Elephas maximus indicus: one gene and its partners. Each later gene encodes a partner of the first gene's protein in a complex. Links are inferred from orthologs where the notes say so. Each region holds a gene or a part of one and is shown in the gene's direction. Other genes may lie near its edges. The genes, in order: SNRNP40, CDC40, BCAS2 and LSM8.

The links.
Region 2: SNRNP40 (region 1) and CDC40 share a complex: the UniProt entries of both Homo sapiens proteins name them as parts of the postcatalytic spliceosome P complex. The link is inferred for Elephas maximus indicus from reciprocal best matches to the Homo sapiens genes SNRNP40 and CDC40.
Region 3: SNRNP40 (region 1) and BCAS2 share a complex: the UniProt entries of both Homo sapiens proteins name them as parts of the postcatalytic spliceosome P complex. The link is inferred for Elephas maximus indicus from reciprocal best matches to the Homo sapiens genes SNRNP40 and BCAS2.
Region 4: SNRNP40 (region 1) and LSM8 share a complex: the UniProt entries of both Homo sapiens proteins name them as parts of the U4/U6-U5 tri-snRNP complex. The link is inferred for Elephas maximus indicus from reciprocal best matches to the Homo sapiens genes SNRNP40 and LSM8.

What each region holds. Positions count from the first base shown.
Region 1 is NC_064821.1:72,228,326-72,235,982, reverse strand, and holds the start of SNRNP40 (U5 small nuclear ribonucleoprotein 40 kDa protein), read left to right. Parts: upstream 1-4,646; 5' UTR 4,647-4,691; coding exon 4,692-4,826; intron 4,827-7,657. UniProt on the Homo sapiens protein: Required for pre-mRNA splicing as component of the activated spliceosome. Component of the U5 small nuclear ribonucleoprotein (snRNP) complex and the U4/U6-U5 tri-snRNP complex, building blocks of the spliceosome.
Region 2 is NC_064819.1:176,116,890-176,124,457, forward strand, and holds the start of CDC40 (pre-mRNA-processing factor 17), read left to right. Parts: upstream 1-4,549; 5' UTR 4,550-4,590; coding exon 4,591-4,779; intron 4,780-7,568. UniProt on the Homo sapiens protein: Required for pre-mRNA splicing as component of the activated spliceosome. Plays an important role in embryonic brain development; this function does not require proline isomerization.
Region 3 is NC_064821.1:165,984,284-165,991,783, forward strand, and holds the start of BCAS2 (pre-mRNA-splicing factor SPF27), read left to right. Parts: upstream 1-4,484; 5' UTR 4,485-4,563; coding exon 4,564-4,656; intron 4,657-4,765; coding exon 4,766-4,858; intron 4,859-7,500. Other genes in the region: DENND2C (DENN domain-containing protein 2C), read left to right, coding at 1,016-1,047. UniProt on the Homo sapiens protein: Required for pre-mRNA splicing as component of the activated spliceosome. Component of the PRP19-CDC5L complex that forms an integral part of the spliceosome and is required for activating pre-mRNA splicing.
Region 4 is NC_064826.1:31,453,742-31,461,434, reverse strand, and holds the start of LSM8 (LSM8 homolog, U6 small nuclear RNA associated), read left to right. Parts: upstream 1-4,686; 5' UTR 4,687-4,797; coding exon 4,798-4,828; intron 4,829-5,958; coding exon 5,959-5,999; intron 6,000-7,693. UniProt on the Homo sapiens protein: Plays a role in pre-mRNA splicing as component of the U4/U6-U5 tri-snRNP complex that is involved in spliceosome assembly, and as component of the precatalytic spliceosome (spliceosome B complex).

The sequences.
Region 1 (7,657 bases):
TACTTGCACCATTAGGAGTTGCCTTGCAATAGTTCTCAAGGCAGAAAATCTTCCCTGAGTGCTTCATTTCATTTGAGCACTTTAAACAATTGTACAATGTCGGGAAGCAACAAAGACTCAGTTTTTCTACCCTCAAGGGGCACAGCAAGGAAAGTGTCAGGGAGAGGGGGAACAGTAGAGAAATGGTAGCCCAGAGCCAGGTCAAAGCTGGCTGTAGAGGAAATCTGCAAAGACGAGCAACCCAGTGTGGGGAGGAGCAAGGTAACTGATAAGGTGTCCACACATTGGGGTGGCCCAGAATGGACATCCAGAGCCTAAACGTGGAGAGGAGGATTAGAGATAGTAATGCAATGTTAATTTTCTGATTTTAATAGTATATTGTGGTTATGTAGGAGAATGTCCTTGTTTGTAGGAAAAACTAAATCATTCAGGGGTGATGGGGCCCCAGGTCAACAACTTAACTCTCAATGTTATTTGTACTATACCTCCATAATTTTGTGATTGTTTCAAAGTTAAAAAAAAAAAAAAAAAGTGCACGCATTTGGAAAAAAAAAAAAAAACACAGCCTGTCCTCCCTTCCAACAAGAAATAAGAAGTTTTTAGAATAATATTAAATTAGTGAGATACTCTACAGCTTCTTTGGAATGTCATTTCATGTGTTACCATACTGACCTGGTCTAGATTTTTGTTGTTGTTTTTAAGTCTGCGTTGATTTAGATTTCTTTTTGTTGTTTTTTTATAACACTAATTAACTAGAAGCCTGAAGGAATTAAAGAGATGTTAACTTTAACCTAAGTAAAAGAATTCAGAGGAGTATCAGCTAACACTGGGATATAAACAAAGACAGAATAATTCCAGAACCTACATTCTTAACCATTATGCTACACTGCCTCAAAAAGAATGCATAGTCCACATTTAAATTTTGTAGAGTACAGCTCTAACACTAACTAGGTCCCACCACTGGAGGAATCAATATAGAGTAATCAGAAGGGCATCGTTCATGGAGAAAGCTAGGATGAGCAGAGTCTGGATTCATTCATTCAAACATGAAACCAAGGACCATTTCTTATTTAATCTTGAGGTCCTGATATACAGTGGGTACTCAAAGACTTCTTGAATGAACGAACAAAGCTTACTATAAATCAAGCAGAGGTAAAGAAAGAAGGCAGAAAGCGTTCTAGTGTCTAAAAGATACAGGAGGAGAAGGAATTTGAGTCCCACATGTTGGATATGCCAGCAGATGGGAAACTTTCAAATGCCAAATTGGTGGCCTAACCTTCCTCCTTCCCACCAAATTTCTAAAATGACTATCCTAGACACGTGCTTCTTCCCTGTCAAGTTCACTATCTTATACAGGTGTTTCTTCCTTAAGAAAGTAGTCAAAAGGAGGGAAGAAGAATAGTAAAAAGCCAGGAAAAGCACAAAAGGTAGACTCATAAAATGTAAAAGTTGAAGGGAATTATATTATTAAGCTTTTTTTTTTTTAACTGAAATTGAGGCTAACAGAAGTCAAGTGATTTGAAAAAGGCTGCTGAGTTACCAGAGTTGTTACTAAACCCAGGACCAGTACTTACTCTACTGCCTCACACTGTTCTTTCAGGCAATAATCCCTAAGGTCCCTTCCAAGTACTCTAATAACAACAGTTAAAATTTGAGTGTTTCCGATTTGCCATGTATTAATCTAAGAGCTCTACTTGTCTTAACCAATTTAATCCTCTTTTTGACCACCCTATGAGATGGCAATTATCACTGCCATCTTAGAGATAAAGAAACTAAGACACAAGAAAAGCTACGTAACTTGCCCAAGATTACAAAACTATGAATGATAGAGATGGGATTCAAATCCTATCATCCTCTTTGTGAACATGTTTTCCTCCCTTTCTAGATTGTGAAATTCTTGTCGGCATGCCCTTGTCTTGCACATCACCATATCCTCCCGCCCCCAATCCCCAGTGCCTAACACAGAATAAGGCACATAGAAATTCATAACTGGCTGCTGAAAATACTGAAGTACTTGATGTTACCCTATTTTAAATTGTTAGTTAATTCATCAACTCAGCACAATATTTATTGATGCTTATATGCCAGGCCTTGTGCTAGGTACTTTACAAACCTAATTTTAATTCTTAAAAAAACTCTACAAAATAGGTATCTCCATTTTGCAGAAATGAAGTAACTTGTCCAAAGCCACACAGCTAGAAAGAAACAAATCTCAGGCAATTCCAAAGGCTAAGCACACGTGCCACTAAACTACCCTTTCAACGCAGTCCCTATCCTCTAAAATCTCCTAGTCTGGTAGGGATGATGATGAAACTATTTATAACACAGCGTGGTCAGTGCTAAAGTAATGGCTAGGTTCAAGATAATGAACAAACAAGGAACAAAGAAAAGACCTGAGAGAAGCAGGGAAGTTCAGAGATGACAACTAAGTAGGCCTTTAAGGATAAATGGGTATCTCCAAGAAGAGACTACTGTTGTTTGACCACATAAGAACCCTGAGGTACTGGCCTCTATTTTCTTCCCATCTATCAGCCCTCGCCTTTTTCTTCGCTTTCTTCCCTGTCCATCTTAGATTCCAGTCCATCATTCAAGTAATACCCTTAACTTTACCTTTTTATAGCTTACCTATCTGGCAGTACCCCTACTCTGTTGGGGAACAGTTGCAGACAACAGAATCAACTGTAGCTAGGTTAAGAAGAGATTTACTGCCAGGTATTATGTGGCTTTCAAAATTACTAGAAGGGTGATAGAAGCAGGCTCTGACAGAACTTGCAGGAACAACTCCTAACCTACAACAAAGCACACCAGCTTTGCCACCCAGATCAAGAAACTAATGGCTATCACTGCATAAAGTCACCAAACCAGCGAACTGTTGACTGGAAAAACTCATTGCCTCTGCCATTAACTGTCAGCAAATTATGCCTTGAACTCTGCTTCTCTCTACATTTAGCTCAGTTCCAAATCCAATTCTCAGCTTCAAGAGTCAAATAGTTTTTAGCTTTCCAGCTCTTCAGTAAGATACAGTACATTAGAAGTTGGAACGTGTGTTGTGTGAGCCAAATCCACAGTCCTTGCCATACCTGGATATGCTTTCTCCATGCCTGGACTAAAAAGCCTGGTGTTGCCAGAAAAAAATTTATGATCTCCAGTCTCAAAATGGGTTCTTAACTCTGCCTGGAAATCCTACATTTCTCTGGTGAACTCACTCTCCCAACCTCAGGAAACGGTAACACCATCTATTCAGCTGTAGAAGCCAGAAACCTAGGCGTTATCTTTGATTCCCCTCTCTTCTCTCCCTGAATCCAGGTTCTACCCACTTCACCTTCTATAAATCTCTAGAATATCCTTGCCAACATCTCTCAAAGGACTACTGTATATCCCTCTAAGTGGTCTATCTGCATCTCCCAGGGCTCCCCTCCAATCTATTCACACCACTAACCCAGAGATCAAGCCACCCGCAAAACCCTCAATGACTGCCCATCAGTCTTAAAGCAAAACTACAAATTCCTATAAAGTGTGATCTTCTAACCACCTTCCACTTCATCTTGCCATACTCTCCTTCATTCGCTTTGTACCAGCCACTCTGGCCTGTTCGTGCCTTTTAGTCATTTTGTTCCCACCACCATAGGGCCTCTACACATGCCGTTCTGTATGGAATGTTTCGCCTTCCCTTCTTCACCTAATTAGAATTCTTCCCTCAGATACCAGCTTAAGCATCTTTTTCTCAGAGAAGTCTTCCTGCTTATTTCAGGCACTCAGAGCAACAGCTACCTCTCCTAGGTAGCACTTCCTTTTCCTCACCAGACTCAAACTCTCTGAGGTCAGGGATCATGTTGGTTCATACTGTATCCCCAGTGCTTTGCACAATAAATATCTGTTGGATGATTAAGAGAAGGCCTAGTTCACAGGTATGGGTCTCAAATATCTAAACAATACTGGCCTCTCAAGAAGTCGGAGGTGAACCCTTTCTTCATCTCTCTCTCTCAGAGGCACACAGCAGGCCATAACAAAAAGCTGCATAGTCAGTGGCAGAAACAAGTGTCGCCTCCTCAGTCAGAATGAACACTGGTGGAGGCAGGGAGACAGGCCTTTTCTCCCAGGGCTGAACACAATTAGTCCCTTGTTGAAAAAGTCAGCCAGCAAGGACCCCCGGGAAACCGCAGGATCTGGGTCCTGCCGCCAAGAGACCCCAAAGCTCTGCTCCTGCCTGGAAAGAGAATTGAGGCTGCTACTTACCAGGGCTCCAAACTCGGGCCTGCCTCCCACCCTTTTCAACCTGCATCTTCACCTGAAAAAAGCCAAACTCAGACCCTACTACCGAGATGCGACCTCCAGAGTCCCGCAGCCACCCCCGATCTTCCTTACACTTACTCGCTGTTAGCTCCAGGTCGCCCAGCCACTGCACTGCGCGAAAAGCCAAACCCTCTCAGCGCGCTTCCACCCACAAGACACAGCGCGCCTAGGCGAGACTCCAGCTCCATCCGCCAATCCTGGAGCCGTACTCTAGCGACGTCAGGAAGAGCCGCCCAATAACAAGAGACTATCCGGAAAGAGCGCAGGTAGGAGCCTTGGAAACCGATTGGTTTCTCCAAGCCGGAAGTTCCGGGGGAAGAACTAAGTAGGAACCAATCGCTTGGTCCCTGTGTGTGTCGGCGCGGCCAGTGCCGGTGCTGAGGAGAGTGGCTGCCGCCATGATAGAACAGCAGAAGCGAAAGGGCCCAGAGTTACCCCTGGTTCCAGTCAAGCGGCAGCGGCATGACTTGCTGTTGGGAGCGGCGGGGTCGGGCCCCGGAGCTGGACAGCAGCAAGGAGCTTTGCTGCAAGCGGTAAGTGAAGGAGTAGGCGGCCTTCGGCCCTCAGCTCATCCTCCTCTCTCCTCGGACCTCTGCACTAGGTGGCCCCGAACCGGCCTTTCCACACGCTGAGAGGGGAGGAATGAGAATCTGTATATGGAGTTAAAGCAGGAAATTCTGTAAAAGCGCTTGACAACCTGCATACGTTCAGTATGTGTTTTCGCGTTTGACACCTCGTCACCGTCTCGACAGCCCTGTGAGGTGGCGTTAGAATTGTAGTTTAAGAGCCTTGGGCTTATTGTCGGGACCCGAACTTACGCATCCTAAAATTTCGGGAGATCTGGCATAAAATAAGCATTCAGTAAAAGTTTGTAGAGCGAATGAATGAGTGAGGTAAGGAAGAAAATGAATGATACTGGCTCGCTGTGGAACTTAGGACAAGTTGCTTTTTTCTTTTTCAACTTCCCTTTATTTCTTTGCACTGGTATTAACTACTAGTACTCTTGTCAATTAAGATCAGTTGCAAAAGATCTCCTTGAAGTGTTAAAAAGCAAAGATGTCTCCTTGAGAACTAAGATATGTCTGACCCAAGTTATGGTATTTTCTATGGCCTCGTGTGCATGCAAAAGCTGGACAAAGAATAAGGAAGACTGAAGAATTGATGCATTTGAATTATGATGTTGGTGAAGAATATTGAATATACCATGGACTGCCAGAAGAACAAACAAACCTGTCTGGAAAAAGTACAGCCAAGAACGCTCCTTAGAAATGAATAGTGAAACTTTGTCTCGCTTAGTTTGGACTTGTTATCTGGAGGGACCAGTCTCTGGAGAAGGACGTCATGCTTGGTAAAGTAGAAGATACGGAAAAAGCAGAAGTCCCTCAACAAGGTGGATTGACACAGTGGCTGCAACAATGGGCTCAAACATAGCAACAAGTATGAGGATGGCCCAGGACTGGGCAGTGTTTCATTTTGTTGTACATGGAGTTGCTATGAGTTGGAACCAACTCAAGGGCACCTAACAACAACAGTAGTATTATTAACAATAGCTAACATTCACTGAGCTCCTGTGCCGAGTGCTTTGTATATATAATCCCCGCTAATAATGGTAGCATCTTAAGAGTTAGGAACTGTTATTATCCTATTTTGCAGATGAGAAAACAGACTTAACTAGTAGTTTCCCGTTTAACAACTTCTACAAAATTTGTTCAGCGATCTTGGTTACATTTTACACTTTGTGTCTACTTTATCCTAATCAGGACTTTGAACCGGTTCAAGCCATGGCTGAGGAAGCAGAACTGAAAGACTCAAAATTTGGGTGAAGTAGAATGGGAAAGATTATGGATCGAAGCCCTGGGATCAGAGACTCAGAAGAGGCATAGTGAGCCTTTTCAGGAGCCTTATCGGGAGATTCAATTATTGCCAGGACTGTGGAGGGTGACACACTTTCAAAGTGGCACAGGCTACCGTCTTTGAGCTGGGCACTGCTGTTCCCAGTTTTGACAGTCAAAATACTTGGTTGTTATGTAATGTGCATGCTGTCCTTGTTTTCTAGAGGGAGATTAAGTTTCTAGCAGGGCTTCAACCTGTAATTTTTCCCAATCCGCTTCACTCACATTTTAAAAATTCAAGTCCGTTTGGGTTTCACTGCATCGGCCATGACTGCACATTATTTCTGTTCTCGGTGCTTCCGATGGTCTAGTTTCCCGCCCCCTTGCGTTCTCATCTTTGTTTTAGAGTAAGTGTTGACCATCTGGTCTCATATAGGTGATTTTTTTAAAGGAGCATAGTACTCACGGAAGATGTTGTTTATTTTATGTGCCAATATATTACTTAGCTAAAAGATGACCTCACGGGATAGTTTTGGTTCCAGGTTTAAAGAATATCTCAGGGCGATAGTCTTGGGGAGTCCTCCAGTCTCAACTAGTCCAGTAAGTCTGACTTTTTAAGAATTTGAGTTACGTTCCAGATTTTGTTCCCGTTCTGTCAGATCTATCTATTGTGGATCTGATCAGAACAGTGAGTAGTGGTAGCCAGGCACCATCTAGTTCTTTCGGTCTCAGGGTAGAAGAGATTGTGGTTTGTTCAGACTGTTAGTCCTGTGGACCAGTTTCTTCTCTGAGTCTTTGGTTTTTTCATTCTCTTTTTCTCTGGATGAGTAGAGACCAATAGTTGTATCTTAGATGGCCACCCTCAAGCTCTTAAGGCCCTGGACGCTACTTCTCAAACTAGGGTGTAGAACATAAACTTTATGTACCTTATTATGCCAACTGACCGAGTTGTCCCCCAAGACTATGGTCCTAAGCCTTCACCCCGTAAACCAATCCTGCAACATGTTTATAAGTATCTGTGTTTTTGCTGCCTATGTGGTTTATTGTGTATATGAATATATATGGATACGTACTTACACGCCCACACCGATATACACCTGCATATTAAAAAAAAAAATCAAACCCATTGCCATCGAGTTGATTTCGACTCTTAGTGACCCTATAGAACAGAGTAGAACTGCCCCACAGGGTTTCCAAGGAGTGCCTGGTGGGTTCGAACTGCCAACGTTTTGGTTAGCAGCTGTAGCTTTTAACGTATATGCCCACTGTATACGTAAATATACATACCTGTGCACTTGTATGCATACACATGTATCTACACTCCTATTGTTGCACAGTTGTATATGTCCTAGCGTTTACCAAAAACGTCCTTTTTCCTTGCATACTTCTAATGACATCATTTGCCCTGGTCAGACTCTGCAAACCCTGGTGGCATAGTGGTTAAGTGCTACGGCTGCTAACCAAAGGGTCGGCAGTTTGAATCCACCAGGCACTCCTTGGAAAGCCTACGGGGCAGTTCTACTCTGTCCTAT
Region 2 (7,568 bases), on another chromosome or scaffold:
AGTAACTCATTGAGAAAAGGGGATTAGAGGAGTAAGCAGTTCCCAAAGAACCTGGGCCTCTGCTGGGTAGAGTAAATAACTTACCTCCTTCTTCCACAAAATCCTCACAGGACTGCAATATCAATTAAATAAGACAATAAATGTATGGATGACTTGCTCATATAGTAAACATGCACTGTTATTTCTTCTCCTCTTAGGAGACCATGTTATACACTATTCTTAAGTATTAGTAACTTCCCAATAAGAAGCGAAAAGCTACAAAATACTCCACCATATATGACGAACATGGCTGTGTTTCATATCCCTCTCTCCCAGTATTCTGATCTTTCCACACACATTTGATTCCCCGCCAATGCACCTCATTTGTAACCACCACTAGTCTATAAGTGGAGGCTTGTGGAGCTTCTAGACTAAGGCAGACTAGGAAGAAAGGCCTGGTGATCTACTTCCAAAAATCAGGCAATGGAAACCCTATTGATCAGTTGGGGACCAACTCAACAGCAGCCAATAACAATTCAGACATTTAACACAGGATTTAATTAACATACATATTTTTATTAATAGATTGCTTGAAAATAAGATAAGTCAAAAAAGAAACAAATTTCTATATTGATCAAATTTGGGTAAAACAAAAAAATTAATGTACATTTTTATGAAGTGAGATATAAGGGGTGAGAATAAAACTGTTAATATCATTCCACAAGTGAAAGTTGCCTATTTTTACATTATTCAGTATCTAGTGCTATTTTTAAAAATGTGTGGGTAAAGTAATTATGAACTATATCTGAAGAGGTAAGTGAAGTTCAGAGAGCCCCAAATACATTCTTCCCTTCTCTTCTCTGAGATAAAGCTATATGATGTTCCAGAAATTAAAATTTGTTTGATAAATCTAAATTAATTCACAAAAAAGAAATTACAAGTAGTAATTTTAAAGACACATTTTAATAGTCTTATTTATGTGAAGTTTTCCCATTAGGTAACTGAAAACACTTTTGGTAAAAGTACTTATAATGTAGTATTTTAATAGTAGTTTTTGCTATGAAAATTGAGTTAAATTCTTCAATAAGCAAATCAAAAATTACTATCTTCTATAGTAATAAAAACCAAACACTGAGAAAAGATATCTTAAAGTACTCCTGTCTACTGTGGTAATGAAAATCAAAGAGAAAGGATTTCATAAAGTATTCTTATGATAAAGTAAAATGTATGGTTACAGCCTTATGCAATATTAACACATTGTCTCTGAATCTACGGTTATTTACAAACCTGAATAACAGAAACAGTAGCTCCATATCATACCTTACAAATGATCACAACTACGTATTCTGGATTTTCTAACCTGAAAAATTTGCAATGAAAAAGATCTTAAGATTTTTTATAAATTTTATCTTTCACAAACTTACTCAATGTTTTACTTGTTTCATTACCAAGTCATATAATTTTTTCATTAATATTAACTATTTTCACATAGATCAGTAAACCTAAAAAAACTCTTGATGGATGAGAAACACCCTTCATTTTAGAGCCATTCCTCTCCAAAGCAAAATTCAACGTAAATGAGGCATTCCAATGTATGAAGGAAAATTATGACATTTTTCATTGCAGTTTACACTGAGCTATTTTCATTAGTCATCAACTAAAATATTCAAATATTCTTTAAATGTATTATGAAAACATCTTTACTGAATTTATTCACACTATCTAGTCATGTAAATCAGTATTATCTTCATTTACCTGTAAGGAAACCAAGGCACAAAGGTGTCCATTTTGTAAATTGCAAGGTCATTTCCTAACCAAGAACCTGAGCCTACACCATCAAGTTTTATTATACATTTGCCACTTCCAAGTGCCAAAAAACAATTTACTGTACCTTAAAAGAACTGCCTCTGCAATACCTATGTACAATTTCATTTTATCAGAAGTGTGAAGGATTAATTCAACAAGATTAAACAATGAAAGCTGGAAAAAGAGGACTAAGAAAATAAAAACACTCACTTTGGAGCAGTGAAAAACTTTAAATAACAACATGTATATTTTTTTTAACATAATCATCAAGTAACCAACAGTTGTTTCTTACAGTTTCAAAAAATATTTCATCTTTCAGGTAGATCACATAAAAAGAAGCCTATCCATCCTTGTAGACAGAAGTTAGAAAAATAACGGTAAATTCTGTAAGAAGTAATTAAATGCATGACATTGCCAAAGAAAAGAATTGAATAAAAAAAAAATTAAGTAAATTAGGGAACGTTCAATACGGCAGTTAAAATCCCATCTTAAATATTAAATCCTCCCTTTCATTCAACTGGAAACTATTAGCAATCAAATATCCTCCTACTGAAAATACAAAACTTTTCTTAATCAAAATTAGAGAAATTGTGTATCAAATACCTTATTCACAAATTTGACAAATTAAAAAAAAAAAAAAACTTTTCCCAAAAGAAGCTTGGAGCATACAACAAAACTGTTAGAGTTCATGTGTTCGTAAATACTGCACTTGTAAATAGGATAAATGTAGTGCTATCAACAATTAGAAAATGGAAGTTACCTAACATCCAAAATAAAGTACGTTAAATAAGACGTACTGAATAAGCAATAAATCAATTGCTGAACAGAAATAAGATTTAACCAGCACGTGAATCTAACACTAAAGAAAAAAAGTATATTGTAATGCACATCTTACATAGAAAGGGATAGGATTAAACTGAGCCATGTTAAAATACCTAGTGTAGCTAGGGATTAACTAACTAATCGGTTATAGGACAGGTCGTGAATGTTCAGGTCAGATGTGCTGTCTTTTCATCATTATTTCAGTTCCTCAAGTGCAAGAGAAGGCGTCAGGGCGCCGAAGCTAGGGGGCATGCTGTAGCAAGGGGAAAAGAAAAATGGGAAAGGTGCAACGGATGCTGCATAGTTGAATAATTATCTGGGTGGCACAATGGGCGAGTCCTGCCGACATCGGAGCTGAGCGAGCAGCTCCTTAACTCTGCCCGAGGTACACCCTGCCGAGGCGCCTGCCCCGTTTCGCATCCTCTTCAAACGAATAAAGGGTCCCCCACTCGCTTTACCGTTATGTCTTTAGACACAGACGAGCGGCACAAACACGCAAACGCACAAGCTTGCTTTACAGAGCAGCGGAAACGTAGAGGCAGCAGGGGCTTCTCCCCGACCCAGTGCTGCAGCCTTCCCCAAAGCTAGGAGGCACGGGGTCTGGCCGTGGGTGCAGGTGGCCAGGGGAGCTCCGGCGACGGCACCTCAGGTGAGACCCGCAGTCTCTTCACCTAAAGCACCCCAGGGCGGCCCCTGCAACCGAGACCCAGGAGCGCCCGCCGCCGTCTCCCTCAGCACCCAGCCCGGCGGGCGGGTGGGCGGCGGGAGATCGGGAACCCACGAGTGGGGGTGGGGACCATCGCAGGGGGCAGGCGCGCCCATCCCCGTAACCTTTGAGGGGCTAGAGATCCCCACACACCTCTCTCTGTTCCGAATGCTGAGGAGCTCCTCTACTAGCAACCCCCAAAACCCCCACCCTCTAAAAAAAAAAAAAAAGGGCAATTCCTGAGAGACTCGCGCTCACCGTGAAATCTTAAGGGGGCTCTTGCTTACCCCTTCTTCATGCTTCGACGGTAGTCGCTGAGCTCCCTGGACTCCACCCGGAGCGCCCAGGAATGTCGGGCTCTGGGGCGGAACCCACTCCCGGCAGCGGCTAAGGCTAAGAGGGACAGGGACTGCCGCCTACGGCGTCCGCCGGTCGCCGGACTCAACGTGTGCCCGACGCGCCAGCGAACAACACCGCGAACCGCCGCCGCCGCCGCCGCCGCCGCCGCCCCCCCCACCCGCCCCCTCCCCGCGCGCGACGTTCCACAACCGGGCGAGGGGACCCGCGCCAGAAGCAGGGGGGACGGCTGGACTCTCATCCATCTAACCTTCCATCCTTCCCACCAGGAACTATTCCCCGCCCATAAAGGTCTTCGAACTTAAGACTTACGTTCCTCTTCAGTCTCCAGCGCCCAGGTGTAGCCCTTGTGGGAAACTCAGCCTCCGCCCACTCACCTATCACTAGGGGGTAAGAATCGCTATTCCCCTCTTTCCTGAGGATGTATGGTATTGCCCTATCCTCAGTTTGGGGGAGGGGGACGGAGAGAACAGCGCTTGGCTAGGGAATGAGGGAAGATGATAGCCAATTGAATGAACCATCTATTCAGGGGCGGGGTCGAGAGAGGACGGCCCTCCGCGCCCCGCCCCCTCACTCCAAACTACACTTCCCATTGTACCTTCTCCCACTTCCTGCCGCGCGGCACGCCGGGAGTTAGGACTTCGAGGCCTCAAGGTGTTTCGGAACTGGTAGTCTCCGAGTCAGTCAAATAGGTCCTGAAAGCTATAAGTTATTTAATTGTCTCTGTTTCTCTAGATAAGTGTTTCCAAATTTTTATTTCTCCTGTGGTTATTATACTAATAATTAATTTGTTGTTTTAAAATGTTATAAATGATTTCTTAGCGAAACGAGGTAAATAATGTGTTCCATGGTAATCTGTCAGGACCTGCGTGCCACTTCTTCCGCCGGGGCCTGGTCTCGGCAGAAGATCTGTTGCCGTCATGTCGGCTGCGATTGCAGCTTTGGCTGCTTCCTATGGTTCGGGTTCAGGGTCCGAATCGGACTCGGACAGTGAGGGTGGACGGTGTTCGCTGCCAGCCGCCGATTCCCTCATGCACTTGACTAAATCGCCTTCTGCCAAGCCCTCTCTGACAGTGGCGGTGGACTCGGCTCCGGAGGTGGCAGTTAAGGTAAGCACTTTGGCCGCTGCTGCGGTGCGGGATTTGTCCCAAACCCGGCAGCCGCGAAGGCTCCTTAAGCCCGGAGTTACCGCTTCCTTACTACTGAAAGAGAAATTGCTAACGCTTGGATTTCTTCTCCCTATATGCGTCTTCCTGGAGAGAAATCGAGAACTGGAATTTTTTTTCACTGTTTCCTGCCTTTATCTCCTGCCCTAAGAAAGCAGTTGAGAAAGTGGGGTGGGGGGAAGCGGTGAAATTTGAATTTATGGATTGGGACGTGGCCTAGATAGAGCAAGTACAATCTCAGTATGAGTAAAGCTACATCAGAACTGCCCAAACTAAAATGCGTGAATTTGGGCAAATTATGCAACCTCCCGTTTCCTTGTCTGTTCAGCGAAGGTAATTGTAACAGCACTTACATATGTGAGAGGACTATTTTGAAGGTTAAGTGAAACGATACAAATAAAGCTAATAGCACAGTGCGTGGTACCCAGTGAGAGTTCAGTAATTATTAGGTATTTTTTTTTTATTATGTATGTTATTACATGTTAGAAAAGGACCTTGAATTTAAGAAACAGTGTGCATGATCGCAATGGAAGAAGTAATAGAGGGAGATGTTCGGTTATTAAGTTTATTCAACATATTTACTGAGCACGTTGTTATTTGCCAGGAACTGTATTAAGGACTGAAGACTCAGGTGAACAAGCCAGACATCCTTGCCATCATGATCCATACATTCTAGTGGGAGAGACACAATAAAAAATGAGCAAATGAAGTGGTTATAGATTGGACTCAGAAGAGAAACCATGCAGTACTATGGTAGAAAATAAGATAGGAATATGCCTTGAGATAGGTTGGTCAGGGAAGGTCTCTCTCAAAAGATTGGACCTGAAGAAAGACAAGAAGCCAGCTATGTACAAGCTAAGACAAGAGCTTCCAGGCAAAGGGGATGGCAAGCCTTGAGATGGCAAAGAGCTTGGCATGTATGAAGAACAGAAGAAAGACCCATGTGGTGGGAGTCTGGTGAAAACATCCATCAATGTGGACCCAGTAGAGCCTGATGGGGTGATCAGAAGCTCAAGATATAGAAAGGGAAGGCAGTGTGCAAAAATTCCTTTGTATTTAAGATGTTTCAAACCAATATAGTAAGTCTTTTACAGGGTTTTAGTAAGCCATTTATGAATTTTATTTTTTATTAATGAACATCTGGCATGAAAGAATGCTTAAAGCTCTTCTATCTAAAACAAAACAACACTCGCTAAACTCATACTCCTCCGGCAACCTCCTGAGGTGACATTCCTTCAACAGCTTAGCTTTTTGGAAGAGGGAGCTGCACTCCCTCTCTTCACTTCATCTCATTTTCTTTTCAATCAGAGTCTGGCCCTAGCCTCTCGGGAAACTACTGTCCTTGAGTAATCTAGAATCAGAAGCCTTGTAATTGTCAAATTCTGTCACCTGGCTGCATCAGGTGACTCTTAAATAATAGTTCATCATTCTTGTAAGTTTTTCTCCTTTTGGCTTCCATGGGGCCAACCTCAGTCTTCAGGGCCACTGACCTGTCTCCCCTTTCAATATTGGAGTTTCCCCAGGCTCCGTCCTTAGTTCCTTTTGCACTCCACCTACTGTTCCATGATTTCAGCCTCTGTCTCTATACTCTGATGACTTACAGATGAACGCTATAAAGTGGTTAACGTGGGTTGTGGTGGCATCAAGACTGCTAGGATTCAAATCCTGTCTCTAGCAATTACCAAATAGTAACCTTGCATAAGTTACATAAGCATTCCGTGCCTTAGATTTTGGCTGAATCTTACTAAACATCTCTCCCGGGATGGCTGTCAGGCGCCTCAGATTCAATGTGCTCAAATATTAACACATTTTCTTTTCATCAAAATCTACTCTTTTCCTGTTTTCCCTTTTTGACTACTGACCTTACAACCCACCCATGGGTCCAAACCAGGAACAGAGCCGTAATCCTTTTCTTCCTCAACCCCTGAAGCTCATCATTCAGCGGATTCTAACATTTCTGCTTCATTAATTTTCTACTCTCACTTCATATGATCTTCATTTCTCCCAGGAGTTATTTTTTACTTTTCTTTCTCTCAGCGCTACTTTTGAATCGTGGGACCTGGCCATTGTAACTCATTTGTTGATGTTTTGTACTGTTGAGTGGATTCCAACTCATGGCAATCCTATGTGACCTAAGCCGTAATCTTTACAGAAGCGGAGTGCCAGGTCTTTGCGCCCACGGAGCTGCTGAGTAGGTTCAAACCGCCAACTTTTTAGTCAGCATAATTCATTAGTATTTACCAAATCTCTTTTCTGATGCCACTCTTCAGTTTAGATTCTTATCATTCCCCTTCAGGTCAATTATAATAAACTCATAACTTGCCTTTCTATTTCCTCCTTCACATTCCTTGCTCCACAGTGCACCCAGAGTGATCTTCCTAAATTTCAGTTTCATCCCTCCCCAATAGCCACCATGTTTGCCTACTGGGTAAAATCAAGTTCCTTACGTAGCATATGAAACCTGCCATGCTTCATGCTGAACTCTTTACAAAGCCCCAAAAGCCTAATTTTCTTTTCTCCCACCCTCCTCAAGATTTTGCCCATGCTAGTCTCTCTGCCATATTTATGCCTATTCCCAAGAAAGGTGATCCCACCAAATGCAGAAATTGTTGAACAATATTATTAATATCACACGCAAGTAAAATTTTGCTGAAGAACATTCAAAAGCAGCTGCAGCGGTATATTGACAGGGAACTACCAGAAATTCAAGCCAAATTCAGAAGAGGATACAG
Region 3 (7,500 bases), about 94 Mb from region 1:
TCCAGATTAAAAACACCTGGTTTAGTTCATAGAATCCTGATTAAAAGGGGGGAAATGCAGAACAGAATTTCAAATTCTCATGGAATCCAGAGTTCCTGGAACCATGAAGGTTGGGTGAACCCCTGAAATTATTGCCCTGAGATAATCTTTAAACCTCAAATCAAAAATATCCCCTCAAGTCTTCTTAAAACCAAACAATAGTTTAGCTCAACTAGTAAAAAATGTCTACTCTGAGCATTATGCTCTTTTAAGAACTATCTATATTGGATCAAATTGACAATAGCAATTCTAAAGATTAGATAGAAACCTTAGGGGGGCAATGAATTTATGTTAATGAGGAAGGAACAACTCAAAGGAGGTTGAGAATGGTTACACAACTTGAAGAATGTTATCAATGTCAATAAATGGTACATGTAGAGACTGTTGAATTGGTGTATGTTTTGCTGTGTATGTTTTCAACAACAACAAAATAAATTGTATTAAAAAAAAAAAACACCTGGTTTGCATGGAATCTGAGGCAAAAGGAAATTTCCTACAAATGTTTTATGCATCATAGAGAAACACAGATGTTCATGTAATTTTTTCAATTACAGTTAACTGTTAATTATCCAGGGGATCTAGGAACTGTGGTATAGCTAGTCTAAAACAACGAACTTAAATTCTATGGTATTTATACTGGTCTTTGAAATATATGTTCCTAATTAGGCTCTGTCCCTAATGAGCTGAGAGACCTTGGACAAATTATGCCCCAGGCTGTTATTTCCTCTTTAAACCACAGTGATTATTAGATCAGTGGTTCTCAGCTCCAAAGTCTGAATACTCTTCTACCTCTACAATTAGACACTTGGGAGTTTTTTTGCTGGTTAATTTTAAAATATGTCATTTCAGAATACATATCACCTGATAGCTTACTCATGGGCTATTCTGAATGACTAAATTTTAGCCATTTGCCTCAAATAATCTACGATAAGTAAAAATGAATTAATGAGAATTTCCTTTTTTTTTTTTCTTTTAGGGAGTAAAATGAAATTTCTCCAGAAGAAATGAAATCTTTGATTGACTGTCTCTATCTTAACTAGAAGGGAATGTGCCAAAGAAAATATTTTCCCAAGAGTCAGATGCCTTGAGGTATTCTGCAAACTCCTTGGAAGTTTAAAAGGTTTCAGAGTGAGGCCTGCCTTCAGAGGAGGACTCTCCTGTTGCTGCTGTGGTAATCACTGGAGAATTGTTGGCGGTAATCTGGAACCAATGCTCTCTTCAGTCTGCCTCCAATTTTTTTTTTTTAAGTGGGCTTTTTACTTGATATTTGGACTCATCGTTTTGTGCTTAGTTTAGGAAGGCACTTGTCTTTTGCAGGGGACAGACTTGTTGGTTTTGCATTTAAAAAACAGCTCAAAGATTAACATAACAAGGGAAATGCCGAGATTAGGGTACTAGAAAAGCATGATGGAAGTGGAGAACACTAGCCCTACACACATAATTCTCATCACCGAAATATCATGGCAGCTTTAACCCCATGGACTCATTGAGCTGGGCTAAGTAATATAATCATATGCCTCCTGTTTTTTGATTTTTTGTCTCATGTTCTATCTAGGAGAATCCCACTTAGGTAGAAATCCTTTTTGTTAGGACTGGTATTGCTTCATAAATATAGATGTCTTGGAGCTCCTCCTTCACAATATGTTGCACTTGGGTAGCTTGTCCCTCATGTGTCAACATTAAACTTTGTGGAATTATAGTTGCTAGGAAAATGTCCTTTCAAGGGCATGGGAACTACCATTTTTTTTTTAATTATCCATCATGTGCTGTGTACTATGCTACATGTATGTATGTCATCTTATTCAATCCTTACATCAATTTTTATGAGACAGATATTTGCATCTTCATTTTACTAGTGAAGAAACTGGAATTCAAAGAGGTGAAATAACTTGCCCAAAGTTACACAAAAGAGCCCATATTGACGCCCAGGACTATTATTTTATGTACGCAGAGCAAGTTGGTTAGTACTGCAGATGAAAATTTGCTCTCTGTGGGATTTCAGTATTTAAAAAGTTTCCTATTAAGCTGAACCATACCAGGGCCACCTCCCAGCTCTGAGGATGAGGGACTTTAAATTATAGTACCTGAGATAAGACTCTTTTTTTAGCTCCTCATGAATTGTTGGACTTTTTGCCCTAATTAAATTGAACTCAGAATTATGAACTTTCCTGGGCTCCCTCCACTTAACCACCCAAATCCTTAATTTCTAAACTAGTATTAATCATTGGAAAGAGGAATTTGTTAATGAGAGGCAGTTTTCACTGATAAATGTTATAGCAGATGTCAGTCTGTTTTCTTCAAACCCTGCTAATGGTTTTAACTGGCATAAAAAGTATTCAGACTTAACAAAACCTTAAAAGTTGTGTTGTGCTACAATTTATTGACTTGTACAGTATTGTCTTAACAACACATTCAGGTGTGCATGCATGAATCTGAAGCCGACACCATGTAAAGAACGGTGCTGTGTAATATAATTCCTATAGATGTGGGTCCAGGGAATAGAACTGAGCTCATGTCTTATTAAAAATGTTTATTAAGCAGCTTACCCCAGTGGGGCTTTTACCAGACATCTCCTCGTTTGATTTCTTCTAACACTGAAACCCTGAGGGAACAAGCAAGCAGTAATTGGGAATTGAGTGTTTATAAAATGGGAGTAAGAGGGATTACTGTGGTGCATTCCTTACCATCCCTCTATGAGGAGATCTTTGCTTCAGGATGGGGGACTTTATCCCTGCAATTTGAAGCTGCTCCCCTAGGTCTGTTATATTTTGTTTTTGTAAAGTGTTACATATTCTGGACATGTTTGTAAAAGACTTGCTCAAGATTTGTATAAAATGTTTACAGATCTTTAAAAGAATAAACACACAAAAATCCCACAGACGTCTGGACAATTTTAAATAAAATTAAGATTTAGAGATCTTATTTAAAAAAAAATTGCATCAATTCCAATTCATGGAGACCACATGTGTTACAAAGTAGAAGTGCTCCATAGGGTTTTCTTGGCTTTAATCTTAAGAACAGCAGATCCATCCCCAGGCCTTTCTTCCATGATGTGCTGGTTGGGTTTGAACTGACAAGCGTTAGATTACTGGTTGAGCCACCTAGGAACTTAGAGATCTTATCCTTCACTTAAATCCATGGGTAGCACATTTATCTAAATAATGGTAAATTAGAAAGCTAATCAAGGAGCCTTGGTGGTGCAGTGGTTAAGAGCTCAACTGCTAACCAAAAGGTTGGTGATCTGGGTCCACTAGCCACTCAGTGGGAGAAAGATACGGCAATCTGCTTCCGTATAGATTACCAAAAACCAAGCCAAATCTGTTGCCATTGAGTAGATTCCAACTCTTGGGGCCCTATGGGACAGAGTAGAACTGCCCCATAGGGTTCCCAAGGAGCAGCTGGTGGATTGGAACTGCTGACCTTTTGGTGGGCAGCCAAACTCTTAACGATTGCACCACAAGTGCTCCTCTGTATAGATTAAACCTCCTCCCCTCCAAAAAAATGGCCTTGGAAATCCTATGGGGCAGTTCTGCTCTGTCCTATAGGGTCGGTATGAGTTGGAATCCACTGGTCAGCACACAACAGAAAGCTAATCCGAATCAATTTTATACCAACCAGGCTTAATAACTGTGGTCAACATTTCCAGGCTCTTGGCTGACAAAGCCTGGGTTAGACTGTACACTGTGTAGGGTCTTTGCTTCATCAAAGGAGGCTGAGAGCCACGTACCACACAGGGCACTGCAGTGCACCGGGCTGGTTGGGGGGCAATGAGGAGTGCGTTTCTATTACCAGAAGTCCTGGAGGCAAAATGACTGGGTTTTGTATACGCCCTAAAAGCAAAATGACAGGATTGTTCAAAGTGCGGTTGATGAGCGGTTATCAGTTTCGCGGTGGGCAGATATGATTCTTCTTGTTACGCAGACCCCAAGTTTCACAGTTTTAACTGAAGACTGGCATACACTTCTTGTGTCTGTGAAAGAACTGTACTACCCAATGCAGATATTCTCAGGACGCCTAAAGCGAAGGATAGTGGGGTGCTGCAAAGAAGTTCAAGAGGAGGAAAGGCTACCACAGGGGGAGAGAAGGCTCAGGGGAGAAGAAAGGTTAGGGGAGTAAGCCAATTTGGTAAACTAGTTTCTCTCCCCGCCAAACCCTGCAGCCAGTTGCCGCAAAAAGTTTTAAAGGCCTCCCCTCCCGCATTTTAGTTTTTAAATAAAGGAAACTTTCGTCTTCACCAAACCGCTTCCAGTCGGAGGCAGACAAAAAAAGAGCAAGAGGGAGACAAACAACCGAGACCTTCCGCTGACGCTAGGGAATCCGGACGTGACGTCACGGCCCACCAAAATAAAAGGGCCCGGCTCTTCTAAGGGGCGGGGCGAGCGCGCCTTTCGAATTGGCGATTGAGTAAGTGCTGAGGCCCAGGCGCAGGCGATACGGACGACGTCCGGGGTAGGCGCAGGCGTAGTTGAGAGTACTCGAGTTTGCGCAGACTCAGAAAACTCAGTCGGACCTGAGGTACCCGGAATGGCGGGCACAGGATTGGTCGCCGGAGAGGCTGTGGTGGATGCGCTGCCCTATTTTGATCAAGGTTACGAAGCGCCTGGTGTGCGGGAAGCGGTGAGTGAGGGGTGTCTGTAGCTGACTCGGCGCTTGCTAGATTTCACAATGCTGGAAGATACACGTGACAGTTTGCCGCCCCTACCCTGGCCCCCGTTCTCGTTCTCAGGCTGCGGCTCTGGTGGAGGAGGAAACTCGGAGATACCGACCTACAAAGAACTACCTGAGCTACCTGACAGCCCCGGATTATTCTGCTTTTGAAGTAAGTGAGCTGTCTTGAGCCCCGGACGTGGAAGATAATTCCACGAATCTTTATTTTGGATTGAGAGCCTTCGCTACGTAAAAGTGAATTTCAGATTCCCACTCTAACTATTGCTTGCTTAGCTCTTACTCTGACGTATGGGTATCCGTCTATGGAAAACAACTAGATGGATAAGCATTCTCCGGGCCTCTTATCCTGAGACCCTTAGAAGGACTTTCGGGGAGGAGGGGGGATGCTCCGCGAACTCCCAAACTTAATGCAGAAACTTGTGTGTACATTTTTTTCTGAAATGGGATCCACACATAAATTTTCAAAGGAACCCGCTACTCTATAAGGTCTACTCTAAAACAAGTGATCTAGTTTGGGATTTTTTTTGTGTGTTTTAATAAGCTTAATTACCTTGGCTCTTGAGAACCACTGGAGGGCGGGCTTTCTATTTGTATTTTACCAAATGGATGAGAATGACCGAATGGGCAAACCAAGGTACCTATACAGGTATCCCCCGCTTTTCAAAGTTTGCCTTTCGCCACTTCGCTTCTACGAAAAGACCTACATGAGTACCTGTTTTCACTAATAGAAAGAAATCCCAAGAGGATTTTCGATGTTACGAAAACCAGAAATAGCTTTCAGCATTTGTTTTGCACCTAGCCATTAAAGAGGCGGCGAGAGTGGCGGCGTCGCCAAGCTCCTTCCCCGGGAATTACATTCAGCATCTCAGCTTTTACTATATGTTGGTATTATTTTATGTTTTATATGTTATTTGGTAGGTTATTTTGGGGGGGGGGTCTGGAAATGCCCCAAATTTTTTCCCATATAAGTTAATGGTAATTGCTTCTTCGCTGTAAGCCATTTCGTCTTAGGAAAGGTTTCATGGGAACTCTACTTTTGGATGGGGGGCGGGGAGACAGGACACTTGGATACCGTTTTAAACTGTTTACCGTAGGAGTGAACCCAGGATACTGATTATGGTCTAATCCGCTGAATGTAAAGTATTTCTAAATTACTGGATTGTTTTAGGCATTTCCGAACATTATGTTTGGCGTTTTCCCCTCCCTATATGCAACCATTTATTTAGGAGAGGATTTTGTTGTTAAAAAGCAGTATTTATATTTGTTACATGAAAAAATGTTGGTTAAATTTTAAGTAGGAGAGAGATGTTCCTTTGAAATTCTGTTTCGTTCGGCATTTCACGTAAAAACCAAAACCAAACCCACTGCCACAGAGCTGGTTCCAACTCACTGCGACCCTATAGGACAGAGTAGAACCGTCCCATAGGATTTCCAAGGCTGTAAATCTTTACAGAAGCGGACTGCCACACCTTTCTACCGCAGAGTAGCTGATGGGTTCTGTTTTCTCATACTTTTTTTTAAATGTAGTTACCCAAAACTAAAAAACCCGTTGCCATCAATTCAATTCTGTCTCATACTGACCCTGAACGACAGAGTAAAACTGTCCCATAGGGTTTCCAAGGCTATAATCTTTATGGAAGCAGACTGCCACATCTTTCTCCTGTGGAGCAGCTGGTGGGTTCGAACTACCAACCTTTTGATTAGCAGCTGAGCACTTAACCACTACACTACCAGGGCTCCTTTGTAGTTACCCAAATGTGGGTTATTTCACATTAAGTACTAAGTACAGTAATGCTTCCTTATTGGACTGAAACTTTTAAATATTTTAACCAGTTTTTAAATTTATTTTTACTTTAATTTGCTCTCTCAAATACAACATGTTTTCAATCTTTATAACTAGTATACTGATTATTTAACCCCCCTTTTTTAAAATTGTGCTTTAAGTGAAAGTTTACAAATCTAGTCAGTCTCTCATACAAAAATTTATACCCACCACTACCCACACCTTTTATATACTCCTGATTGCTCTGGCCATAATGAGACAGCACACTCCTTTCCCTTGACTCTCTCTTTTCATGTCCATTTGGCCAGCTTCTGACCCCTCTGCTCTCTCATCTCCCCTCCAGACAGGAGATACCAGCATAGTCTCATGTAGCTACTTGATCCAAGAAGGTCTTTCTTCACCAGTATCATTTTCTATCCCATAGTAGTCCAATCCCTGTCTGAAGAGTTGGCTTTGGGAATGGCTCCTGTCTTGGGCTAACAGAAGGTCTGGGGACCTAATCCTTTCTTAAAAATAGGAGGTAAATATTGTTCTGGGCTTACTTAGTCATCAGAACAGCCCTATGAACAAATATCTGTATTATCCCCATTGTTTAGGTGGGTAATTGTGTTCAAGATCTTAATCACTCCTCAAATTGCCCTTGAAACTGCTCTTCCATTTATTCATTTAACAACTATTTATAAAGGTTTGTTACGTGCCACACTTGGGGGGACAGGATAGGCAAGGTCTGTCCTCGTGGAGCTTACATCCTAGCGTGTTGAAACAGAGAAATAAATCAGCAAGTAGTGGATTATTCATAAATGATATACAAAGAATTCAAGTAATGATGTGATAGAGTGGCTCAGTGGCTGCTTTAGATTGCATTCTTGAGGAAATCCTATCTGTGCTGAGATGAGACTGAATGTTAGCTCCATGAGCAGCAACCTTGTTTGTCCTCTTTACCACTGTATCGTTATCACCTAGAACAGTGCCTGGCACATGATAGCAACCCAAATATTTATTAGTCGAAC
Region 4 (7,693 bases), on another chromosome or scaffold:
TGCCTTCTTGCCTGCATGATTTCTGCTGCATAATTAGAGCTTAATCTAGTATGTGACTTTTTGTTTTTCTCGAGTTGCTCTCAGGATTTTTTCTTTGTCTTTGGTTTTAGCAAGTGTGAATGATATGCCTTGGAGTTCTTTTGGCGTCTATCCTACATGGGGTTCACTGAGCTTCTAGGGTGGTCAGATTTTCATCATTCATGATATTAGGGAAGTTTTCTGTTAGCAATTCTTCAGTGTTCCACTGTGTTTTCTGCTTTCAACCCGTTCTAGAACTCTGATCACTCAAAAGTTTTTGCTTTTGAGTGTACCCCACATAACTCTCAGGGCTTCTTCATTTTTCTTCATTCTTTTTTCTGATTTTTCTTCAGAGTTGTATCCAAGTATTTGTCTTCAATTTTGCTGATACTGTCTTCTACCATTTCAAACTTGCTTCTCAGCCCTTCTATGACACTGTCCATTTCTGAAATCTTGTTTATGCTTTGGATTTCTAATCATTTTTGTGTGATTTCTAGTTGTAACTTGATTTTGGCATTTTGTTCCTGTATTATTTTCTTGAGCTCTCCTATTTTTTTGGTCTAAATTTTCCATGAATTTGTCTGCCTTTTCCATAATTTGTATATTTTTTCTTCATTTTTGTCTGCTTTTTGCTTCAACTCTTGGATTGCTCTGAGATGTGAATTTCCTGTCAGGTAGTTTAGTGCCTTTTCTTCTACTCCAAAGTTAGCTGGTATTTTATTTTGGACGCCTCCTGGAACCATCCTGTTTTTTTTTTTTTTTTTATGTTTTGATATCATCTGCTGTCTTTGGGACATTCAGTAATTATTTTCTTTGTTTCTTGATTATAGATTTGTTTTGTCCCGCTTTTTTATTTTATTTATGTCTGAGCAGGTGGGCTTTGCATTCTTTGTTGTTTGCTCGTCTGTAGTCATGATACTTTTCACCTCCTTGTCCAATAAGCAGGGCCAATCAGTCAGCTATAGTTCAGCAGGGTAGGTCCAATTGAAGGTGAAGGGCTGGGATGCACCATTTGTAGCTCATACTAGGGCCAACAGGGCAGGCCAGGAATCAGTGCTAGGTAGGTTCTGGTAGGCTGTGCTGATTAGGATTGTGATGTTCAGAGCATGGTGTAGGTAAGCAGGAAATAGGGGGAGGTTGTGACGTGTGGAGCTAATATGGGTATGGGAAAGAAGAGAGAGAAGACAAACAGGAGCCAAAAACAAACAAAGGAAAAAAAAGAGCGCTGAGGGAGCTTACCTTTGGAGTAGAGAGATCAGAAACCGAGAGATGGAGAAAATAAAAAATGAAACAAAAAGGGAAAAAGCAAAACAAAAAACCCAGGGGTCCCACTGGTGGGGGGAGTGAAGACCGGGGAAGTGGCTCCCAGGCTGCACAGTATAGCCTGGCTAGAGAGGGTATAAATATCACACAGCAGCAGGTATTCAGGAGACAGGAAAAGAATGTAAGTATAGACAGACGGGAACTGAGAAATGAAGACAGACAGAAATGGAAAAAGAGACAAAAAAAGAAAAGAAATGCCCCCAGGGATTCCACCTCTGCGGCTGTGTAGACTGAGAGAGTGGCTCCTAATCTCTGCAGTGCAGCTTGGCTAGATGGGGCTCCCAAGCTGTGAAAGGAAAAAGAAAATAAAAACAAAACAGAACACGGAAAAACAAAACAAGAAAAAAAAAATGCAGCCCCAGGGATCCCAACAGCACAGTGTTATGGGCCAAGGGAGTGGTTCCCCAGTTGAGCAGGGCTTCACAGCCTTTCAAGAAAAGCAAAGATGGCACACACAGCCAGGTGCTTGAGAGAAACCAGGGGTAGGTGGTGGGAGGCATGGAAGACACCAAAAGAAATGGAAAGAAGGAACAAGAGCTCAGGGGGCTGGCCACTGTGGGCGGGGGGAATCCATGCGGCCCAGGGCCAAAGCAGTTGCCTCCTGCCAAAAAACTGCGCCTGGGAGTAAGGGGGCGGGGGGAGCGGGGGAAGGGTGGGCGTTAGGAAAGCGTATGTTGTTTGTTACCGGGTACTCTGTCTCCTGCTGGGAACTTCGTGAAGATGCTTTCTCATACTCCCTGCCCACGGATCTCTGATAAAGGTGGGGTGAACCCAAGTGGCCCGGATGCGGCACTCCCCAGCCAGCCAAGCCACCGCAGCCAGCCAGGAAGCTTGGAGGTAGGGCAGTGGGGAGAGGATGTGGGGGTGGGAAAGAGTGTATCGCTGGTTATCGGGTTTTCTGTCTGCTGCTAGGAGCTCTGTGAAGCTGCACTGCCGTACTGCCTGTCCGGCAATCCCTGACAGGAGTCCAAGATGGCGGATCTGTGCTGTGTTAGCTGATAGGGAACCTTCCAGGTATCTCTCCTCAGTTTCTTATTCCATTCGGTGTTTGGCTGAGTTCTTTATGTCTTCATTTGACACTTCAGGTTCCAGCAATGATGTCTGTCTCTGTTTTACTTAGTTTTTTGGGTCTTTGTTGTGGGGAGGGGTGGCCTGGTGCTTCTACCTATGGTGCCATGTTGGCTGCAAGTCAAGAGTGATGCATAAGGCTAATTTAGATAAAATATTTATGTACTGTTTGCATCTACATATAACTCATTTGTAAAGTCTCAATAAATGGGCATTTCTTTACCCATAGGCTTTCTCTCCACATGTATGATCATAGGGAGCTACAGAAAATGTAGCAGTTACAAGACACGTGTAAAAAATTTTCAGATAAATTTCCTGATGCTCCATAAACATGGCACATCTGTTATTTATCTGGCATATTAATTTAGTGAAAACTGCACAAGATCATAGACTTAAAATGTAATGTGTTTATGATTAAATTAATTCTATAAATTACTATATGGTGTTAATAAATGTCAAAACATAAGCAACACTCCAGGGGATGAGAAGTTCCATGCATTATTCATTTTAAAAAGGTGGGATATAGTTTATTTTTTAAAAACTCCTTAATCATACTTCAATAACTAGTAGTTCTTCATTTTTCTTTTAATTTGATGCCTAACATTTGCAAATCACACAATATCTTCATTTTTTATTTATGGATGATACATTTTTCCCCCCTAGAAAATACAGGAATATTCACTACGTAATTCCTGACTGTATGTGGTTTCAAACAGGTCAGAGTAAGTTTCAGTTTATAAAATATTAACCATTGGGGAGTGATTTGTAGGTAAGTTTGTGGGTATGCTCTAATGAAAACAGATGCTTGACTTTTCAGAGGAAAATTGCTCATTTCGCAAGAGTTATTTCACATTTATACTTCTTCAGTTAAGAAATCACAAGCCTAACTGAAATCAAAAAGATATTTTGTGAAAAGGGGAAAGAGCTCCCACTGGTGTTTTGTGTATTGATCCTTTTCTAATTTCAAGCCCTTCTGAGAGCACCACAGTATAATAAAATGGAAAGAATTATGTTTCCCATTATCATCCTGAAATATTCAAAATGAAAGCTGTGGAAGGATCTAACATCATTACTTTATAGTGTTACTATATAGTGTTAAGGAGCCCCTGGTTGCGCAGTGGTTAAGCGCTTGGCTGCAGAATTACTGCTCTGTGGAAGAAAGATGTGGCAGTGTGCAAATGTGGAAGGAACTCACCAGCCTCGGATGATGATGTGGCAGTCTGTAGATGTGGCAGTCGGCTTCCGTAGGATTTACAGCATTGGAAGCCCTATGACACAGTTCTACTCTGTCCTACAGGGCAGCTACGAGTTGGAACTGACTCCACGGCAGTTAGTCTTTATGTAGTGTTAATAAACATTTTCAAAACATAAGCACATTTCAAGGGATGAAAAGCTCCATGCATTATTCATTTTAAAAGGTGGCGCATGGTATATTTTTGAAAAACTATTTAATAATGATACCTCATAATGATGAGGAAACAGGTCCAGAAGAGCTGAAGTGACTTGTATAAGGACACACAATTCAGTAGCAGAGCCAGGACTAGAACCCAATTTGGTGCACATTTATAATATACCTCTTTTCTTGACTAGTCTTCATTGGTGGTGCGGACTTGCCTTTTATTTAGTCATTTTATCCTGAGGACAGGGAGACCTCCTGGCTTGCTAGAAGCTTAAACATTTATTTCCTAGGAGTTGCTCACACACGTTCACTTGTTTGGATTCAGTTTGTTAAAGTGAATCACGATGCCTCCAATGGAGTTCTTAGAGGCACATGGAGAATATGTGAACATGCTTTTTCTTATCGTCTTCTCCAGAGATGTACAACATTATGGCTCCAACGTGTGCAACTTTTTCTTGGTCCATTTATCTTTTTTTATATTTCATTTTAAGTCCGTGCTGCAGAAATCAGCTAGGGATCCCAATTCCCCGTACCCCTATTTCTTAAGACAACAGCACTTACCTATCTTCTTCATTTACACTCAAAACATCGTATTTCGTTCTCTCCCGCCTTTCCTGTCTTTTCTAATAGTTTTTCCTAGTAACTTCTACCACACTACCTTTCACTCCTGACTCCCTCTTACCCCGCCTACAGGCACCTGCCTTTTTTCCGCCTCCTGTTTGCTTTTGTCTCCCGTGGCTTCCGGGATCGCCGCCCGGAAGAACCACGGAAACACACTGCGCACGCGCACCAGTTCGTCACAGCTCCTGCTCTCTGATATGCGGCCCAGTTTCTGTCAATTTCTGACCCACGGCAAATACGGCGCCAGCAACTCTCGCGATATTTGCTGCCGTCAGTGGGCGCGAGCCGCGGCCAGTTGGTGGCGGGCATTTTTGGCTTCTGCTGTTGCTGGAGCTGCCGTGTAGCCCGGAGTTCCTGGGCCAGACATCATGACGTCCGCTTTGGAGAACTACATTAACCGTATCCTCCGGAGGCCGCCGCGGCGAGGCACGTGTCCGCACCGGAGTGGTGTCGGGGCTTGAGAGGCCGGGGTTCGGGATTCCTGGTGGGTTGGGACGCCTGGCTACTACGGGGCCCCGGGTGCCGGTGAGGGGGATAAGGACCCGCGACCAGCCAGTCTTGCGCTGGGGCTCGAGCCCGCCGCTCCTGCCTCGAGTCCGAGGTGTGTTTTAATTCCGGCCTAAAGTAAAGTAAATCCAGTGTAATTATCCTGAACTTTTCTCTGCCTCTATAGAATTCCGCTATTGATTCAGCCTTATTATTCCCCCAGGGCCCACACGTTCAAGTTTCAAATAAGGTGAGCGGTTGTCATAGTGGCGACGAGGGTCTTGTAAATCTGTGCACTTGTTTTATTGACAGGCATGCTCATTGTTGAGATAGCAGAAGTTTAAAGATGGTCCATAAATTGAATTTCTGCTGCTTTACCACTTGAAGGCTCATCTTCCTTGTTGCTAGGATGGAAACAATGCTTGCTTTTTCAATGAATTGTCCTCATGGTCCGAAACTCGTAAAGAACCAGATACAAATGTTACTGTTTTAATGTCTCAGGACAGAAACAGCACATCGTGTATTCATGCACAAATTGTGAACAGAAGTTAAATACTGAAGGCTTTTAATGATGCAAGCCTATTGGTGTCTTATGACATTGGTTATAGTATCCTTTGTATTCCAGAAACCTGGAAGACAGTGTCTTAACATGCTTGAAATTGACTGATTTAGCAGCCATACAATTTTTATTCTACAAATGAAGAAATAGGGCTAAGAAAGTGGGGAATGTCTTGTTCAAAATTGAAATTTCCCAGTAAAAGCGAATACCAAATACCCCAGCTGTTTTGAGATGCTTATCACATAGAAAAAGGAATTTTCTTTTTCTGTTACTTTTGTGTGTGTGTGTGTGTAGTTATCTCGAAGACAGGATTGAAAAAAAGCTACAGATTTTAAGTCCTTAATGTTGTGTATTTAATGGCCATGTTGAATAGTTATTTTTAATTCTGTCGCCCTTTTCTTAGTAATTGGAACTGTGCGTTTACCAGATTCTAAGTTTTCGGTTAGCATTTCCTAAGAAATGCTTTCCTTGATTCAGTTATCAGGAACTGTTGCTGTTATTACATCCGATGGGAGAATGATTGTGGTAAGTATGCAGCATTTTCATTCTCTGCCTTGTAAACTATTGGTAGTAAAATAATTTTTATGTGGAACCTCTGACATCTAATGTGTAGGAACCAGAGTATACCTGCATTGCACTTTTCTTATGATCTAACTCTTTGCCCTGATGTCTTTGATAAATAGCTGCTCATCTGTATTTTTTTTCCGTTAATAAACATCGAGTGCGCATTACCTACTAGCTTCTACTAGGACCTAGGATGAATCGATTCTTCCCATCAGGGAGCTTCTAGTCTAGTATGCAGATGTCTATATGTATCTTATGGTCACATATTTGTCTTGTTCTTCGATATTTTATTTCCTTCCCGTTCAGAGCTTGGACAGCTGCCATGTGAATCAAAAGTTTTTTGAAATTTTGTGTATACTTAGAAGTTGTTCTTTTTATGACTTAGATACTACATATATACAGCATAATGAACATTTAAGGCTTGTTTGTGTAGCCTATAACTATTCCTAGGTTATATAACCTATTTTCTGTAGGACGATATATGACTGACTATTTCATCTTATTTATGCTTTTGTCACAATATTGTTGTTAGGTGCTGTGGAGTTGATTTTTGACTCATAGTGACCCCATGTGACAGAGCAGAAGTGCCCATAGGGTTTAATCTTCATGGAATCTTTATGAAAGCAGGCCACCAGGTCTTTTCTCCTACAGAGCGGCTGGGTGGGTTAGGACAGCCAACCTTTCAGTTAGCAGCCAAGCACTTAACTGTTGTGGCACCAGGGTTCCTTTTTGTCACAATAACCTCTTTTCATTCTAGAAAAATCTTGGATTCTCTCCTTGATCTGATTCTGGAAAACATTCCTCAGTTGCTAATTTAACTCGTATAACAAAGCTATAACTTTCTTATGGCTGATGTTGATTTTTGGAATTTGATTTGAGGAATTTATCCCATGATACTTGGCTACTTAATTATTTTATCTTCATTTATAATTGATACTGTGTTTGCTTTCAAAAAGGTTGTAAGTCTGCTAACCTTTCTCCAAGGAGCCCTGGTGGCACAGTGGTTAAGTGCTTGCCTGCTAACTGAAAGGTTGGTGGTTCAAACCCACCAGCCACTCCATGGGAGAAGGATGTGGCAGTCTGCTACCGTAAAGATTACAGCCTTGGAAATCTTATGGGGCAGTTCTACTCTGCCCTATAGGGTCTGTATGAGTCGGAATCTACTAGACTGCAACAGGTTTGGGTTTGGTGTAACCTTTTCTCTATTTTCTAACCTTTTCTAATTTACTTCATATAATTTAACCCCTTATTTTCTTGTTCTGCGGTCTCATTTTTGTTTCTGTGTTTAATCCATATGATTTTTTCTCAGTGGGTCATTAAGTGACTATCACTAGTCAAAGTGCTAGACTTCACCACTTATTAAATGTGTATTATGTTCCAGGCACTTTACATAGGTTATGTTATTTAATCTTCAGTACAACCCTGTGAAGAATTATTGCTGCTTTATGCTAGGTTAGGAACCAAGCTAAGAAAAGGTAAGTTAGTTTCCCAGAGTCACATAGATAATAAGTGGTAGAACCAAACTGGGATTTAAGTTTAGTCTGACTCCAAAGTCAAGGACAGTTGGCATATTTTCTTTACCAAGGGAACAATCCTGGTTTTCTTAGGCATGCTGTATTGTATATTTTGTCAAATAAAGGCCATTTGAAGTATTT